5 linked regions of the Macaca fascicularis genome follow. The protein of the gene in region 3 interacts with the protein of the main gene of each other region in a biochemical or structural test. Links are inferred from orthologs where the notes say so. Each region holds a gene or a part of one and is shown on either strand. Other genes may lie near its edges.

Region 1 (3,264 bases), on a different chromosome or scaffold from region 3:
TTTTTCTTCTCTTCCAAGCTTACCTTTGTAAACCCCTTGTGGGTTAGGGAGATGTTGGGAGACAAATGTGTGCTTAAATATGAAAATCAAAAGGCTATTTATCGAAGTGTTAACAGTGATTGCCTCTGGATAGCAACTTGCCTATTTCCCTTGTTCTTTTTCTTATTTCCAAATTTTCTATATTGAATTTCTAGGTAGTAAAACAACAATGAATTAATGTTTAAAGACTGATTAACTGGTTCCTTCTTCAGAAGCTGAGCATAACACTTGTCCTCATCTCCCCATGGCTGAGACAGTGGCCCTGCCTGGCACCATGGACAGCAATCAGGGAAGGGTGAAAGGGCACGAGTGGGGCAGGCCTGGGCTTCAGGCGTACACTCTACCCCAAGCCAACCACTTCAGGAGGAATTACTGGGGAAATGCAAAATCATTTCCAAATCTTTTCCTTCCCCACCTTCCAGTCAAGCCATGAATCTCCATTTAAAGCAGCCACTCACTTCTTGGTTCTTTTAAACATTTATTTATTTACTGTACAAAATATTTACATCATCAGCTGCAACTGCCTGGCCCTTTCACCTGGCCTGAGCAATCTGCAGCGGGGCTTGGTCTCTGCCAATTTTCCAGAAACATGCTGACACTCTCCTAGGTATTCACTCATGTCTGGTCTCCTTCAAAGACGCTAAAGGCCAGAAGGGTAGCTGGCCCCCAAGTACCTGGGTCACAAGGACATAAATAAAATAACTGTCCAAAATAAGAAACACTAATAGAAAATTGCCCAACAAATAACACACTCTCATCTCTTTGACATATTGTACCTTTTCCCCACACTGGCTAGTATGAAAGCAGGATTAGAAAAAAACAAAACAAAACAAAAGAAAAAGAAAGGTAAAAGAAAAGGCCCAAGAGAGCAAAGATACTTTTGAATAAAGTTAGGACAGAGAGAGTAAACTGGAAGAATAGAAAACCACAACAGTACCAAAGGGTTTTGTTTAACAAAGACTGGTGCCTAAGGACCACCACAGGGATGCAGCTGCCCTGGTTGGGTTGCAATGGTGCCTAAGATGCTCTGAAAAAGTGCTATGACTAGAGCTTAAAATGACAGATCTAGCCAAGACAATCAACTCAGTCTCCAGGATCAGTCTCTGGAAGGCTGCCGGAGGGGAGAATTCAGAAAAGCAACTGCCAAAAACAGCAGAACCAGTCCACGTGCCCCCAGCTGGAAACCCCTTTCTGGGCCCAAGGGGGCAGCATCATGTTTCCCAGGGTGATGATAAACCTTCCTGTACATATCCCATGGGAAAACATTTGGGCAAGCAGCAGCACCTTGTCCTGGTCCCTGAGGAGAGCAGTGACCATGTGGCATGGAGGATCCTGGGGTACAGAGACCCTGATGCTGGATCCCGGACCCCAAGGATGAGTGAGGTCAGCACCCATGTGCCAAGAAAGGACAAATGATGACTGCGAAAGAGTGAGGTCAGGCAGGAACTGTAGCAGCTCAGGAGGGCTTGTTCCTCATGATCCCTGGGAACAGGAGGGCTCAGACATGCTTCCAGGAGGCCAAGGCATTGCCAAAGTCCTGCCTTGTCTCAGGACTCTGTGTACTTGCTGGTTTTGGCAATAAGGATGGCTTGTAATATTCTGAGTTGACTGCCCCATTGGGAATGGTAGCTTGCAGCAAAGCCTTCTTAAAAACACAAATTTGGGAAGTCAATGAGATTTTGAATCTTGAAATTGTTCTCAAATAGTAATGAAAAAGGATGTTGTCATCTTCCAAGAGACAGCAGCAGGTACTCTTCAATCATCATTCAACAGTGAACCTAATAAGCTTCCTCCCTCCTTAGTTCTCCTTCCTTGTAACTGATGGAGCAAAGGGGAGTATAGGGGTTGGCAGGTGTTTACTGTGTAACATATCACCTCCATGTTCGTCCCTAGTGTCCTGACCCCAAGGACCTGTGATAAGCACGTAAACTCCTAATCCCTGGTCCTTTGTCTTAGTGCTGCCAGAGAACACCAAGCAGACAGAGAATCAGGGATTGCTGGCATACTATTCTTACTGTTCTAATCTTTTGCTACAAAATTTTCTTCAGTAGAACGCTAAAGAATCCCCAGCTTTTAGCAGACTACATAATAGGGAAGTCAGTGGCCCAAGCCGGCCATACTTCAGTGCCAATAACCAACTCAGGGAAAAGCATCAGTAGTCTCCAAGCCAGCCACACGCCTAGGCATGCCCCACTCTGGAGGCTACAGCTCAGCTATCCTTCATATTCTTCAGTCTATCTGCTTTTCTCACTGGCTACAATTCAAGAAAAAGCTTAGAGAGTTCTTCTTTGTGGATTAATAATCGTTTCCAGAAATGCCCGAAGGGAAAGTGCTTTTTCCAGTTCTGACACCACAAAAAGAGATTCTTTTTATCAGTCCTCATTAGAGGCAGTCCAGTGCCATGGCCTATGCCTACCATTGTGCAGAGGGACTGCTCCTATGGGCCACCTCCTATCTGTCCCTCTCTCCTGGCTCCTGATGAGAAGAGGCAATCACCCCACCCATGAGAAGGACTCAAGTACCAGTCTGGTCAAGTAGTGAGGGCCAAAGAGGGTGTCTCCAAGGAGTATCAGCAGAGGGAGTTTTGGAGCAGTGTAGATTTAAGGGTCTCCACACTAGTTTCCCAACAGGGCTGAGCCCCGTGTGCCATCTCCCTCAGCTACTGAGATCTTCAAAGGACCAAATAAATGACAGCAGCATGGTCCTCTTCTCATGACAGAATGAAGAGCTCAGCTTACATACCATGCCAAAGTGGCCTGTGGTAGATATGGGCAGAGAGCAGGTGAGGTAAAGACAAGGCTTGTAGGTGACACAATCCTCCAGACACAAGGGAGCATGCGGCATCTTCTGGCTGATGGTTATGTGTGTTAGGATCAGTGGTTATGATGTCTGTAACTTGTGCCCAGAAGCTCCAGAGAGCATGGGAGCCAAGTGGATGACAGGAGAGCGGTCAGAGCATGCCAAAGCCCTCGCAACCCTCGCTGATGGCCAGCTGCAGCATCCTGTGCACCTCTTCATAGGAGTCATATGTAGGGAGGCACAGCTGGTTAAAACTGGAAGGGCAAGGGAGAATTGATTAACTCATACCACCAAACACTGGACATGCATCAGGCGGGCAGATACCTACCATGTGTGTGCAGTAGGCAGCGTGCTATGGGTCGGAGCGGCAATAATCTGAAATGAGGGACAGAGGGCGGCAAAGCCTCCAGGTGGTAGCTGAGAGGA
Region 2 (3,500 bases), on a different chromosome or scaffold from region 3:
AATATAATGCTCTGCCATAGAAAAACACAAACATGTAAATGGCTTAATTTCTTAAAGATGATTCTTTTAGCCAATTGTTTACAAAGGTAGAATAGTTCAAAATAATTTTTTATTTTTATTTTTTACAAAGAGCAAGTACAGGAGCTGTTCAAAATTATGTATTCAATCAAAATGAAATGTGACTTGTACCGACTGCTGAAGTTGTCTTGATGTTTGAGAGACTTAAAATCTGTGAAGCAATTTGAATAGATTACCTTTTATAAAAATAGTAGTAGTCTTTAAGTGTAGAATACTGCCTAACTCTGGAAATGTAGGAAAAGTCAGCATTCTTTAGGTTCAAGATATTAAGTTTAAATAGCAGCTGAATGTGGCCTCATGGCAAAGCATAAAGACCTTTTTTTCCTTGAAAAGGAATTTCAAAATTGTCCTTTCCCCTCACAGTGTCCTAAAATGTAAAAAAAAAAAAAAAAGGGGGGGGGTTGTTTTCCTGTATTTCAGCATTCTTTGAAACTCTGCTGAAAGGAGACTGTCAGTCAGGGTTGTATAAATAGAGTCCTGGGCAAATCCTTGAAGCTCGTCATTCCACAGCAAATCCACATGTTTCTTCAATGGCTGTTAGCAGCTTTTCATATAGCTTTTCATAGCTTTCATAGGGCGGAATGTCTATTCGATTGAAGCTGTGAATAAGCAAATCAAATTTTACACAGTTCATTCATAATAAGTAAACTGGCCCAGCAAGTGTATACCAATATAGCCACAACACTCTGTCACACAGAAAACTAAAAGGTATTTCTCTAAAACAGAGGTGACCACTTTTGAGTTTTCCTACCAGTTTTCGAATAATCTTAACTTTAAATCGCTTAAGCTGCTTATCATTCCCTTTAAAGGCTCATTCAACACTAGTAAGTACAATAAAGAAAAAGTCCAATCTGTTCGGAACTAACACCTATGTACATGGAATGGGGAATAAAGCTACAAAAATACCTTACCAAGTGTGGGCTTTCGGCAGGTTGTCTGTGCAGGCATCAATCTGGTGTATGGTAAAGAGTCTCGGGCCTGCAGCACCTGCAAATGAAGGAAATGTGGGTGAAATCACTGCAGGTGCGTGCATTTGTCGCCACAATCTTAGAATAAAACTGGCACGTAAACCACAGGATCTGGGGATAGAGGAATGCTAATGAATCCGCACGTACTACCAAAGGGCAGCAGGAAAAGCATCTGGGTTTTGAGAGCCAGAATTAACCTTGGATAAGGCTTAGATTCCATAATACCTTTGTATTTCCATTTGAGAAAAAACTCGAGATTGAAATCTCTTTCCCAATTTCTATATTTTAGAGAAAATCAATATCCCAAAAGCATGAGAAGAAAAGTAATCAGGAAAATCCAAGGTAAAATACATAGGCACACATTCAAAAAGATGACCTAATGCGAATTTAGATTTCATGACTCAAACTGGGCTGAGCGCAAAAGAGCCGTCTATAGAATCCATTTCAGTTCGCACAGACACCCCATATAAATACACGTAGCAGAAATACAACCTCACTTTATGCATCTGGGCAGTGTGATGCTGAGGAGCTCTCCTTACAGAGAAGGGCAGCACAGCTGAAAGCAGGTTCGCCCCAGGGATTTCAGAGCATGCGCTGTGGGCAGCACTGCCGAATTATGTACCAGTCTCGCTCTGTATGTCCTTAGTCATCACCAGCAGCTTTGACAATGAAGTGCTTAAGAGGTAAAGGAAGCAACTGCCACCCAGTGAAGCGCCACAATCATTAGCAATATTACAAGCTCATCCCAAAATTAACCAGCTGATTCCACGGAAAACCATTCTTTAAAAAGGAATATGGTTGTAAACAAATGGTCTGATGCCATGCAGTAATTAAAATGTTCTGACCGAACAGATGGTTTCCATGACCCATGCTGCTTCTGTCTAATAAAGAACTGAAAAGTAAGGGGAGAGGCATCCCAGGCAGGTAAACATTTTCACCAGGTCGAGATGTGAACATGAAAGTGAATGACTTCCCTTACAGGAATGTGCAACAGAATTAAAAGTAAGGTGACCAGAAAACAAAAGGCAGAGCATCACTACGTACGGTCTCTAGCATGCGGCACTCACTACAATCAGAGAAGCCCACACAAAAGGCTCTTGGGAGGGGAACAAGAGAAAGGAAGGAGAAGGTATCACAATGTGAGAGTCACAGGTAAGAAGTGAAAAGAGAATCTCTAAGCACACGGTTTATAAAATATCTACACAGACCCCATACTGACAGACCTGGCCCCCACCCCTGGTCCACCTGCCGCCCAGCTTGCCTGCCCCTCAGGCTGTTACCTTGCAATGCTTTGAAGCCCTGCAGAGGCACTCGAGAGGACCCTGTCACAAACTGAAGCAATCGTGCTCGTCGCTCTTCATCAAAAAACTCCACAGCTTTCCAGAACCATTTGACAATGTTGCTGTCTGGTGTACAGTGTTTTAACCGGGTGTTTACCTTCCAGTCACTAACATCTATCTTTCCAAGTCCACAAATAATAAGCTGTGAAAATAGTACACAGTAATGAACCTGTGGAAACCATAGCCAGGTCAAAAATTCCTCAAAAGAGAACTTCAGATTTGTACTGCTGGCTCTCATTTGGTGGTTCCTAATCGAAGTTGCACATCAGAATCATCTGAAAAGCTTTTCAAATTGACATACCAGGTTCTAGGCTCAGAGATTTTAATTCTGTGCATCTGGGGTGACAGTTGGGATCTATATTTTTAAAAGTTCCAGAGGTATCTACTCATTGAAACTCCCTCCCCAGGGTCTGAGAACCACAGCTGTGATAGACTTGACCAGGTAAAAAATTGTGACTGTTTTATAAGTTCATAATAAAATTATAAAACTTTTAAGAAAATGGACAGCAATTGAGATCCAAAGAGTAAATACAGTTGATATGTGCCTTCTTTGGACCTGTATCATCTACTAGTTTCAATATCTATTAGCTTTGTTGATTGAGAGCAATTCAATCAATGTCCTCTGCTGTAATATGGCAGTAACATCCATTTCACTACATCCTGTGGAAGGAACCGATAATGCACAGAAACTTTAGAAATGGGTGTTGAATAAGTGATTCATACAATTTGCTTAATTTTTTTTTTTTTTTTTTTTTTTAAGACAGAGTTTCGCTCTGTCTCCTAGGCTGGTGTGCAATGGCATGATCTAGGCTCACTGCAACCTCTGCCTCCTGGGTTCAAGTGATTCTCCTGCCTCAACCTCCTGAGTAGCTGGGATTACAGGCATGCGCCACAATGCCCAGCTAATTTTTGTATTTTTCAGTAGAGACAGGATTCTGCCATGTTGGCCAGGCTGGTCTCCAACTCCTGGCCTCAAGTGATCCACCTGCCTCAGCCTCCCAAAGTGTTAGGATTACAGGCGTGAGCCACCACGCCTGGTCTACATTTGCTTAATAATCTTAAATTGATATTAAAGCACAAAATACATGAGCACATTGATACAGACCTCTGCTAA
Region 3 (4,169 bases):
GTGTCTTCTCCCTCCCCACCACATTCTACGATTCTACCTTAGGTAACTCCCTTAACCTAGTTAACCTCACAATGTCCTCATTTGTAAAAACATAAAAACGACAATACACTAACTTGGAGTGTTGAAAAGATAACTTATGTAAATAACCTAATATTTAATAAATACTCAGTTAATGTTACAAATTCTTTTCCAAGGTCTATTTTTTTAGAAACAGAGTAATAATTTTAAACCCGTAATAAGTCCCCTCTTAGACCCCTGAGAGCCTGGGGATTCCAAACTGGGTCAACTGGGATAGGCTAGGGGGCTTCCAGGATGAATTAGGTCAAGATCCCTGCCCTTCGGGATCTCAGAACCCAGTACAGGAAAGACAAGTCTGTAACACAAAGAGATTGTGACAAGTGCTCAAAGAGAAACATAAAGTGCTGTGGTCACACAGAGGAGGAAACAACTCATTCTGAAGGGGGATGTGAAGCAGGGGCTCACAGAGCAGTTGGCATTGGAGTTGAACCTGGGACTTCTCTGGAAGGCAGAAGTGAGGAGAAGGCAACTTTTTTGGGGCAGAGCAAACGACACGTGCAAAGAGACACCAGAGGGCAAGTAAGAGCAGGAGACTTTGCTTTGGAGAAAGAACCCAGTTCGATCACAGCTCACTCTCCCTAGCTAGGTAACCCAGGGCAAGCCAAATAATCTTTTCTCATCGACAAAATGGAAATCACAATGTCTACTTCACAGGAAGGATTAAACATGATCATGCATATAAAGCACGAAGTAAAAGCTGGAAAAATAGTAGCTACTGCGATTAGGTGCAAGAATGGTGGGAAACCAAAGGGCAGGAGGTGAGGCTCAACTGATTGCTTTCCGTCAGTCTCAGAAAGGTCTTGCATGCCAAGTAAGAGGTTAGGATTAACTGCTGAGGACAATAAGACCATAGACATTTTTAACAGGAGTGAAAAGAATTGAGTTATCTGCCTTAAAAGAACTCTGGTGTCCGTGAGGGGTAGTCTGGGGAGGAGAGCACTCCGGAGGGCACCCAAGAGATGAGGATACAGATTCAGAGTAATTTCAGTAACATTAGAAAGCAAGTCATGCACTTCAGAAATCTTTTTTTTTGTTTGTTTTTGAGATGGAGTCTCACTCTGTCGCCCTGGCTGGAGTGCAGTGGCGCAAACTTGGCTCACTGCAACCTCCACCTGCCAGGTTCAAACGATTCTCCCACTTCAGCCTCCCGGGTAGCTGAGATTACAGGCGAATGCGACCACGCCCAGCTAATTTTTATATTTTTAGTAGAGACAGGAGTTCACCATGTTGGCCGGGCTGGTCTTGAACTCCTGACCTCAAGTGATCCGCCCGCCTCGGCCTCCCAGAGTGCTGGGATTACAGGCGTGAGCCACCGCGCCCGGCCTGCACTCCAGAAAACTTTCTAAATTTAAATCCACAAGGGTTGAAGGACGACTGCACCTGGGAGTAGGGTAGGAAAGAAAGCCATTAACCGACCCCTTATCTGGTGAATGGTGGTGTCACTAGCTTAAGAGATGAGAAGTCAGAAGTCCTCTGAGTTTTCTTTTGTGCCCACTTCCACTCCAGTTTTATAAAGTTAATGTCCTCTCTAGCCCTTAGGGAACAAAAGAAAGGAAACGTTCCCAGGGAGGCAGGGAGGGCTCAGAGACTGTGGCTCCAAGTTCAATGTCTAGTTCTACCAAACACTGCTCTGCCCAGAACGAACCCCAGCTCTTTATCTCCCCTCAGGAAACCGGCTCCGGGGCCTTTTTTTAATTTCCGGCCCGTTGCAGGCCGGCTGCACTAGCCAGCCGCCGACTCACAGACGCTGGCGGAGGGGACTCCGGAGGACGTTGGCAAATCCACTGGCAAAAGAACTAAGCCAATTTAGCTAATGTGTTCCTCACTAAAAGGTGCCAAGTAGCAAGAAAGCACCCTGCTGCATTCAAGATCCAAAGTACCAAGTTATTATTATAAACTTTGGCCCGTTTTGATTCGAACGACTGAAACCAACCGTTACCCCCCAAAAAATGGCATTTTGCTTTATCAGGGAAGGGAGATCGAGATGACTGAGTGGAGGAGAGGGAAGGAGAACCGCGCCGCGATGGGGGCCGACCTCAGGCCTTCCTGGAGTTGGAACTTGCCCGCTGTGTGACTCTGCAGTCACAAGGCGACAGTTTGCTAGGACCCAGCGCAATTCCAAACGACCCACCAACAAACTGACCTAACTTTGGCCGCCTGGCCTCCTCCCCGCTCTCCTAGCCCGAGCCTTCCAGAGTTCCGAGCTGCGGCTGGGCCAAGCGGAGCTGCAAGCCCGGCTCGCTGAGGCCCAGGGCGGGGCGGTTCCGCTGCACGGGCTCCGGGCAGGGGCTCCGGCGCTCGGGCCTTCCCCGAAGGCGCTCAGTTTGGAGCCTCCCAACCGGGCTCTCACATTAACGACGCCCTCGCGTCGGACCGCGGCCTCCGCGACAGGGGGACGCGGCCACGCTCCGGGCGGAGGGTGGCGTGAACGCCCCGGGCCGGGCTGAGGGGCCAACAGTGGCTCCCAGCGCGGCCTGGCGCTCCCGCCCAGGCTGCGGCCTAGGCCAGCCCCGTTAGCTCCTTGAGCCTGCGCGCGGCCCAGGGAACCGACGAGGCCGTGTAGGGCAGGAGGCCAGACGGCAGCGCCCTGAGAGGCCGCTGCCTGCCTCGGGGGTCCGGAGCCTGGGACGCCGCCCCACGCCCGACCGAGGCCAGAGAATGGCTTTTACCTTCATCAGCCTCCTGCTGGCCGCCATCTTGGATTTGGTGCTGCTCCTTCCCCAGAATGCATCGCGGCCGGCCGGGCGGCTGGAGCCCCCGCACTTCCTGGAGCGGGGGAGGGGCCGCGGGGCGGGGCACAGGAGCGGAGCAGAGCACCTACTGTATGCTTCCCAGCGTGCTCGGAGGCGCGTGGAGGAACACAAGTGAACCGCACAGGCTGAGCCGCAGCGTTTACGGATCGTCCAATCAGATGACAGTTACAACCAGTGCCTGGCACGTAGTAGGCAAATAATAAATATTGATTGCATAAAATAGTTGGCCGGGCGCGGTGGCTCACGCCTGTAATCCCAGCACTTTGGGAGACCGAGGCGGGTAGATCACGAGGTCAGCAGTTCCAGACCAGCCTGGCCAAAGTGGTGAAACCGTGGCTCTACTAAAAATACAAAAAATTAGCCGGGCGTGGTGGCGGGCGTCTGTAATCTCAGCTACTCAGGAGGCTGAGGCAGGAGAATTGCTTGAACCTGGGAGGCAGAGGTTGCAGTGAGCCGAGACCACGCCACTGCACTCCAGCCTGGGCGACAGAGATTCCGTCTTAAAAAAAAAAAAAAAAAGTACTCTGATTGGAATGGGGAATGGAGGTGGGTAAGAGGATAAGAAGGGGAGCAGGGGCCACTTGGAAACCTGTTGCAATCGTTCAGGCAAAGAGGTGACACTGGTTTGGACCTCAGGGAGCAAAGAAGAGAGAAGAACATAGCTTCAGAATATACTCAGACCTTCTTAAGGAGTTCTCTTTTTTTTTTTTTTTTTTTTTTTTTTGAGACACAGTTTCACTCTGTCACCCAGAGTGGAGTGCAATGGCATGATCTCAGCTCACTGCAACCTCTGAATCCCAGGTTCAAGTGATTCTCCTGCCTCAGCCTCTTGAGTAGCATAGATTACAGGCACCTGCCACCATGCCCAGCTAATTTTTGTATTTTCGGTAGAGACAGGGTTTTAGCATTTTTGGCCAGGCTGGTCTCAAACTGCTGACCTCAAGCAATCCACCCACCTTGGCCTCCCAAAGTGCTGGGATTATAGGTGTGAGTCACTGGGCTTGGACATTTTTCTCCATTTCTAAGAACAGTGGGTTTCGGCCGGGCGCGGTGGCTCAAGCCTGTAATCCCAGCACTTTGGGAGGCCGAGGCGGGTGGATCACGAGGTCAGGAGATCGAGACTATCCTGGCTAACACGGTGAAACCCCGTCTCTACTAAAAATACAAAAAACTAGCCGGGCGTGGTGGCGGGTGCCTGTAGTCTCAGCTACTCGGGAGGCTGAGGCGGGAGAATGGCATGAACCCGGGAGGCGGAGCTTGCAGTGAGCCGAGATCACGCCACTGCACTCCAGCCTGGGAGACACAGCGAGACTCCGTCTCAAAAAAAAAAAAAAAAAA
Region 4 (3,500 bases), on a different chromosome or scaffold from region 3:
CCTTTATTTTGCTGGGTTTTGCTAGAGAAACATTTGGTCATGTGTCATAGTGCCTAGAAGTTACCCCCTCCATGATGCCTAATCCTTTAAATAGCAGCCATTAAAAGATAGACTTGAGTACACTAAATGTTTTTAAGAGTCAATTTGAATATTCAGCAGTTCATGAATTGAGCAGCACCAGACCTCAAGCAGTTGGGCTCCACTAAGGGAGGTGCAAGGAGATGCCAGGGGTAACCTTTGATAAGGTGTTCCAGGAAGTAAGACAAAGAAAATATTTGATTGGTTAAAGTGGAAAGTCCCTTGTTTGAAGTAGTCAACTGTTTCTGGTTGGTAAAGTCTCTTAGATGTTAGTTGGTGGTTTCTGATTGCTTAACCTTAAGTTTCATTTTCCTAGGCTATGATCAATCACTCTGAGTTGAGTTTTGGTTTGCTTAGGTAGGAACCCAAGGCGCTGGACCCATCTCAACTTAATAGTCTCCCAGTTGATTATTTTAACAGAGCTGTATCCTATCAAGACAGGGTAACACACATTGGAATTTACTTCCGTCAGACATTTAGAATGGACTTAAGGTCTTGAGTTAAAAGACCATTGGAGGAGACAAGAAATCTGGATGATCCTTCTTTTTGAAGAAAAGTGCTGTCTTAAACTTGTGTTAAATTAATAATCCGGTGGTGGTGGTTGGGGGGTGTTTTGTTTTGTTTTCCAAAGAACCAATTCAGGCATTGGAAACCCTAAATGTTGATCTTGTGAGCTGCGGGAAGGAGCACTCCCTGGCTGTGTGCCACAAAGGAAGGGTCTTCGCATGGGGAGCTGGTTCTGAGGGACAGCTGGGGATTGGAGAATTCAAGGAAATAAGTTTCACACCTAAGTAAGTATTTCAATCCACTCCTTCATTTATTCAATATATTTAGTACCATGTGCCAGGCACCATGCAAGATGCCAGGATACAAAGACGACTGTGACAGGCCAGCTTCAGTGATTCACATCTGTAATCCCAACACTTTGGAAGGCTAAGGTGGGCAGATCACTTGAGGTCAGGAATTTGAGACCAGCCTGGTCAACATGGCGAAAGCCCCTCTCTACAAAAAATACAAGAAAATTAGCTGGGCACAGTGGCAGTCACCTGCAATCCCAACTACTTAGGAGGCTGAAGCGGGAGAATTGCTTGAACCTGGGAGGCAGAGGTTGCAGTGCATGCAGAGAATGCACTGCACTCCAGTCTGGGCAACAGAGGGAGACTCAGTCTCAAAAAAAAAAAAAAAAAAGACTATGACAAACACAGTTCCTAACCTGAAAGATGAAGGCAGGAAAAAACCTACAACACCAATTATTATTTAATTAGAGCAGAGTGAAATGAGATGTGACCCTTTGATCTTAATCTTATCCCTTGGAATATCTATGGGGGCCCACTTAGACCTCCAGAGTGGGTATAAAGACTACTGTAAAGTAGAAACATTTGAGCTGCAAAAGATACAGATATAAATCTTACCTGAACTTCCTTTATCACACTAAAACAGAGCCTCCTGAAAATACAGTTCCCAGTAGCTTCCTTGAGTGAGAGTTTCCTGGGAAATCAGTTGTCATTAAGATAGACCACCCATAACCATTACCATCAAAAAGCCCAATAGAACCTTCTATACTTTCTCACTGAAGTCCCAAAGCCCCGCCTTTTATTAAGTTGACAGATATAAAACTTTACTTTGGGATATTCTGCAATAGCGAGCACACTTGTAAATAACCTTTGTCTTTTCTCATGTTAATCTATTGTCAGTTCATTTGCAAGCCCCCAAATATTGGACCAAAGGTGGAAGAGGAAAAGTTTTTTTCCCAACATAACCTTTTGACGTGTTATAAACCACTGGGCCCTAACATTTTACTTAGTAAAGTGGAGGGAAATGTCACATTTCCTCACAAACAGCTTCCCAGGACAGACATGACAAGTAGTTGGCTCTGGATTGTGTGTTTATGAATTACATACTTAGGGAATTTTCAAATGCATGCTTTTTAATATTAGGAAGTGACCTCTTGTTACCTCTTCTGGTCATTAAATTCTAGAAGAGATCAATGTTATTTGGGGGACTGAGCATTGAACTTGGAATGAAAAGACCAGAATTTGAGTCTAGTTCTACAACGTGATACCTATTTGACCTCTTTGAGTTTCATTAGATTCACCTTATGAAATTGCCGATAGTGGCCAGGCTCAGTGGCTCATGCCTGTAATCCCAGCACTTTGGGAGGCCGAGGCGGGCAGATCACCTGAGATCAGGATTTCGAGACCAGCCTGGCCAACATGGTGAAACCTCATGTATACTAAAAATACAAAAAAAAAATAGCCAGATGTTGTGGTGCATGCCTGTAATCACAGCTACTTGGGAGGCTGAGGCAGTAGAATTACTTGAACTCAGGAGGTGGAGGTTATAGTGAGCCAAGATCGCACCACTGCCCTCCAGTCTGGGACACAGAGCGAGACTCCATCTGTGAGAAGAAAAAGGAAATTGCTGATAGTTATCTGCTTTTGATCCACAAAAATGGTGGCAATTTTGTATGATTTAACCTAATGATTTCTTTATTAAATTAGGGCTTAAATTAGATGATGAAGATGTTGGTATTCTATAAATTCTAAGGCCCTATACTATATATGTAGAAAAACATTATTTTTCTCTTAGGCTAGTAAGTGTAGAATAAAATTAGTATATTAGATATTGCATTAAAGTCCAGTAACAATGGCTTTTGCATTATATACTGTTTTGGATTCTGTCCTATACCTTTGTACATGTTGATGTCATGTTAAAAACAGTTTGAGGGCTTTGGAATAAAGGTACTACAGAAATACAAGAAAATAAAATGGTTTTCCTAGACCAGATGTATTACTTGAGATACTTTTAAATATCTGTAGTCCACTGGACAACTCACTCTAAATAAGGATTAATTAACTTTGTATTATTTGTATTACAGGAAAATAACGACTCTGAATGGTATAAAAATAATACAAGTTTCCTGTGGACACTACCACTCCCTGGCATTATCAAAAGGTAAGAAACACTTTTTGGATCTGAGTGTGATTAGGAAGTAATTTTTTGAATAGGAATTATAGCTGTTGATTTTTAATGCACTGGGGTTTATTTTGAAGTTTTTCATTCTCCAGGTTTTGTAAGATATATTGTTTTTATATTTTTTTCTCAAATTTCGTGGTCCTAATTATACTCTAAACAGTGCCTAATTCATAGTGCCATAAGGGGCTGTCTCTGGTTATTTGACCTAACTGGCTAACTCTCTCAGAGCTTAGTAGTGGCTTTATTTCCAGCCCTTTGCTCTTTATGCTGAATGGCTTGTCCACACTGGCAGACTTATTTGTCTATTTCACTTAGATCAAATAAAGAGAAGTCAAGGTGTCAAAATCATGACTATATTTTTTTCTTTTTTAAAATTTTTACTTCTTTATCTTTATGGACACATAACAATCATACATCTACACTTTTTCGACCAAACTCCACCCTCT
Region 5 (3,500 bases), on a different chromosome or scaffold from region 3:
GACAAGGAAAGAAGTTTTATGATGCTTGTTATCTGTGGACTACTTACTTGTGTGGGTGCCTTTGTTGGCATTTTGGATACACTCTAGATTTGGCAATTTTTCATTTGACAAAAATGCTTGTGCAATGGCTGTATAAAAACTTCGTGCTACACCACTGCCCTCTCCTGGCTCATCCTTAAATGTGACTTTTACTCTGTGTACAGCCATTGGTGTAGTAGCACATCTTCGACCAAAGTGATTGTTAAGCTGCCTCATAGTCTGCTGAATGAGAAGATCTCGATCCCGATCAACCTATTAAAACACATCAAGAAGTAGTAAATTCAATGTTGGAAAGTAGTTAGAATTTTTTGTAGTTTGAATTTTTCTATTTTCAATCTGAAAATCTAGTTTTAGCTTTTCCTTGAGAGTTTAAAAAACTACAAAGTAATCAGAGTTCTCAGAAGCTTATCCATTACGAAATACAATGTTTAAACCATTAAAGCACACAAGAAGGTCTTGCAAATTAAATCAGGACAACAGAATTTAATTCAATTCTAACACTTTCTTTCAAAGGTTTATTGGAAAACAATAATCTTGTTCAATTTTGGGATACACCAGAATACCAAATAATCAGAGATGTTAAAAAAAAAAAAAACAGAAAAAAACACAGATGAATTCCTTGATGACAAGCTAAGTGGGCGGGAGGCTGGAGGGGAATTAACCAAACTGGAAAATTGTTTGCATCTTTTCTCACAAAGATATATATAATCATTAATGAGTGTGTCTATCACCTGTAGCTACATAAAAAGCCTCTGAAATCTGAGAGAAAGCCAACTTAGAAAAAAAAATGGGCACATCAACTGAGTTAAATACAACTATCCTAAATATATGAAATAATGTTTAACTTTGCTCAAAATAAGATAAATTCAAATTAAAACTATACTGAGGTGCTATTTCTTACCTATCAGATTAGCAAAAATCTAGAAGTTTAACAAATGCTGGCAAGACTGAGGCAAATCATGCATTCTCACATTGATGGTGAAAATGCAAAATTATGCAACTGCTATGCAGAAGTATCCGTCAATGTCTAGCAAAATCACATGCACATACTCTTTGACCCAGCAATTCCACGTCTAAGCATCTATCTCAGGGACACACTAGCAAAAAAACACAAGGCCATTCATCACACTATCTGTAATAGCAAAAGACTGGAAATAAGCCTGAATACCTAGCCTGTAAGGGATTAGCTGCAAAAACTGCGATAACAACCATAAAAGTGCAGTATATTAAGCAGCTATAAAAGGAAGGTAGAACATTTCACATTTTCTCTGGGATATACTATTAACTGAGAAAAGCAAGATGGAATAAAATGTATAGTATGTTTGGGGAGGTGGGAGGAAGTATGTAATTAATACACACATATGCTTATATGTTTTAAAAGGGAGGGAAGGAAATAAACTTGAAAAAATGGGTAAAAGAGACAAGAATAGACTTATATTCATTCTTTTGTAGAGTTCACTCTGCCACACTGTAGATATTTTACATTGATTACAAAATAAAACCAAAAGAGGAAAAAGGAATCCCTAAAATCTGAAAGCAAAATGAAACAAAAGGTCCTAATCATATAGAGCTGGTAGCAAAACCTACAAAGAGAAATTACTTCAAGTGACTTTAAAATAAACCTCCTTTAACTGTGTTATCTCTAACTGTATATGATCTAAGTACAAACATCTGCAAATAAATCTTTAATTATTTTGAATAATCATTTTGTTAGTGGTAGTGTTGATGTTATAATTCTTTTTAAGAGACAGAGTCTCTCACATTATGTTGCCCAGGCTGTCCTCGAATTCCTGGACTCAAGCCATCCTTCCACCTCAGATTCCAGTGATGTAATTCTGACTGCTACTGTGTATGTTGTGGCATTAAAACAAATGAGTAATTTGATTAATGTTGTTGGGAAGTTGGATATTCAGTCTGAAAGAAAGGAGATAAAGACTTAAGATCTAAGAAGCAAGGCCAGGTGTGGTGGCTCACACCTCTAATCCCAGCACTTTGGGAGGCCAGGGCAGGTGGATCACCTGAGGTCGGGAGTTTGAGACCAGCCTGGCCAACATGGTGAAACCCTGTCTCTATTAAAAATACAAAAATTAGCCAGGCATGGTTGCAGACACCTGTAATCCCAGCTACTCAGGAGGCTGAAGCAGGAGAGTCTCCTGAACCCAAGAGGTGGAGGTTGCAGTGAGCCAAGATCATGCCACTGTGCTCTGGCCTGGGTGACAAAGCAAGACTCCGCCTCAAAAAAAAAAAAAAAAAAAAAATCTAAAAAGCAAAAATAACAAAAACAACCTTGTGGTCCTACATCTTGAATTTGAATTGGGAGTATCAATATTAATTCATTATTTTATTTTTTTAAAAAAAGAACAAAATAAAATGCACTGCCAAACTGTTATCAATTAAAAAGGCCTAGAAACCATGATCAACCCAGTAGCAATTTGCAATCTTAGAGCACAGACTGTAATCTCAAAACACAATTTCCTACTAAAAGGAATCAAGGCTACTTTAAGAAATGGCTGATTTAAGGTCTGCGACAGGAAATGCACAAGATGAAACATACCAGGAAGTAAGAAAGTTATCAAAAATTACTGGGCCAATGCCAAAAGGACTGAGGAATCAAAATTGACTCAAGACTCCCATTAGCCAAAGAAGACACAATTTGAGCATCAATATGAATAATAATCTCAATGGAATTAAATACATAAAAAAATCTTTAAATCAAGGCATGCATAATGATACTTAAAAACTAAAACAAAAAAATTCATAGAGGATGCTAGGGAACCAAACTGCCAGAGAAAACCACTATTCTAAATTTGATGGTTACAATAAGAAAAAAATAAAAAGAAACCACACACACACACACACACAAATAAAAAATAAATTTGGCAGTTTAACATGTCTTTTATTTTCTTTAATTTTTTAATTATAAGTACATATACCTAAGTAAAGCTACTGTTATTTTGTATGTTTTAAAATTTATATAAATAGCATGCTACAGGTATAGTATAAGAAAATCTAAATACCTTTACCTCTAGTGATAAATCTCTTGACTGCTGGTTTCTCAGTTTTTCCATTTCTCTACGGAATTTTGATTCTTTTACCTCAAAACCACCCAATTCAGTCAGGATCTTAAAAAAAAAAAAAAAAAAAAAAAAAAAGCATGACAGATTATTCCCTGAAATATGTGCTCATCAGGCAGAATGGAATTTAAAGTGCACAAAATACATACTGATCCAGGTTCTGCTCCAACATCTTCCATGAATACCCTGCCGAACAGTTCTAAAGAAAGGCGCCAACGTCCTAGCAGCATATCATGGGAAATAACCATTCCCATAAAGCTACACTGTGGCCTGTAAGAAGTTTAAGGGAAGGGGCGGGGCGGGGAGGAAATACTTTAGCCAATTTCAAAGACTGATGTTTTTCGTTCAATGGTAGTAACTTACTTTATTTATTTTTTTTAATATTCT

Evidence for each region. The genes of interacting proteins can lie anywhere in the genome.
Region 1: the proteins of UBE2L3 (region 3) and AREL1 form a complex in vitro, tested with the Homo sapiens proteins (4 studies listed by BioGRID). The link is inferred for Macaca fascicularis from reciprocal best matches to the Homo sapiens genes UBE2L3 and AREL1.
Region 2: the proteins of UBE2L3 (region 3) and SMURF2 form a complex in vitro, tested with the Homo sapiens proteins (11 studies listed by BioGRID, with this or other methods). The link is inferred for Macaca fascicularis from reciprocal best matches to the Homo sapiens genes UBE2L3 and SMURF2.
Region 4: the proteins of UBE2L3 (region 3) and HERC6 form a complex in vitro, tested with the Homo sapiens proteins (2 studies listed by BioGRID). The link is inferred for Macaca fascicularis from reciprocal best matches to the Homo sapiens genes UBE2L3 and HERC6.
Region 5: the proteins of UBE2L3 (region 3) and UBR5 form a complex in vitro, tested with the Homo sapiens proteins (6 studies listed by BioGRID). The link is inferred for Macaca fascicularis from reciprocal best matches to the Homo sapiens genes UBE2L3 and UBR5.

The regions. Positions count from the first base shown.
Region 1 is NC_088381.1:142,610,915-142,614,178, forward strand, and holds the end of AREL1 (apoptosis-resistant E3 ubiquitin protein ligase 1), read right to left. Parts: coding exon 3,167-3,264; intron 3,093-3,166; coding exon 2,990-3,092; 3' UTR 501-2,989; downstream 1-500. UniProt on the Homo sapiens protein: E3 ubiquitin-protein ligase that catalyzes 'Lys-11'- or 'Lys-33'-linked polyubiquitin chains, with some preference for 'Lys-33' linkages.
Region 2 is NC_088390.1:71,138,891-71,142,390, forward strand, and holds part of SMURF2 (E3 ubiquitin-protein ligase SMURF2), read right to left. Parts: intron 2,529-3,500; coding exon 2,327-2,528; intron 1,066-2,326; coding exon 990-1,065; intron 678-989; coding exon 578-677; 3' UTR 1-577. UniProt on the Homo sapiens protein: E3 ubiquitin-protein ligase which accepts ubiquitin from an E2 ubiquitin-conjugating enzyme in the form of a thioester and then directly transfers the ubiquitin to targeted substrates.
Region 3 is NC_088384.1:31,559,586-31,563,754, forward strand, and holds the start of UBE2L3 (ubiquitin-conjugating enzyme E2 L3), read right to left. Parts: upstream 2,801-4,169; 5' UTR 2,775-2,800; coding exon 2,748-2,774; exon of another isoform or gene 2,222-2,747; intron 1-2,221. UniProt on the Homo sapiens protein: Ubiquitin-conjugating enzyme E2 that specifically acts with HECT-type and RBR family E3 ubiquitin-protein ligases.
Region 4 is NC_088379.1:93,929,405-93,932,904, forward strand, and holds part of HERC6 (probable E3 ubiquitin-protein ligase HERC6), read left to right. Parts: intron 1-709; coding exon 710-869; intron 870-2,956; coding exon 2,957-3,033; intron 3,034-3,500. UniProt on the Homo sapiens protein: E3 ubiquitin-protein ligase which accepts ubiquitin from an E2 ubiquitin-conjugating enzyme in the form of a thioester and then directly transfers the ubiquitin to targeted substrates.
Region 5 is NC_088382.1:111,884,516-111,888,015, forward strand, and holds part of UBR5 (E3 ubiquitin-protein ligase UBR5), read right to left. Parts: intron 3,384-3,500; coding exon 3,263-3,383; intron 3,162-3,262; coding exon 3,057-3,161; intron 292-3,056; coding exon 48-291; intron 1-47. UniProt on the Homo sapiens protein: E3 ubiquitin-protein ligase involved in different protein quality control pathways in the cytoplasm and nucleus. Mainly acts as a ubiquitin chain elongator that extends pre-ubiquitinated substrates.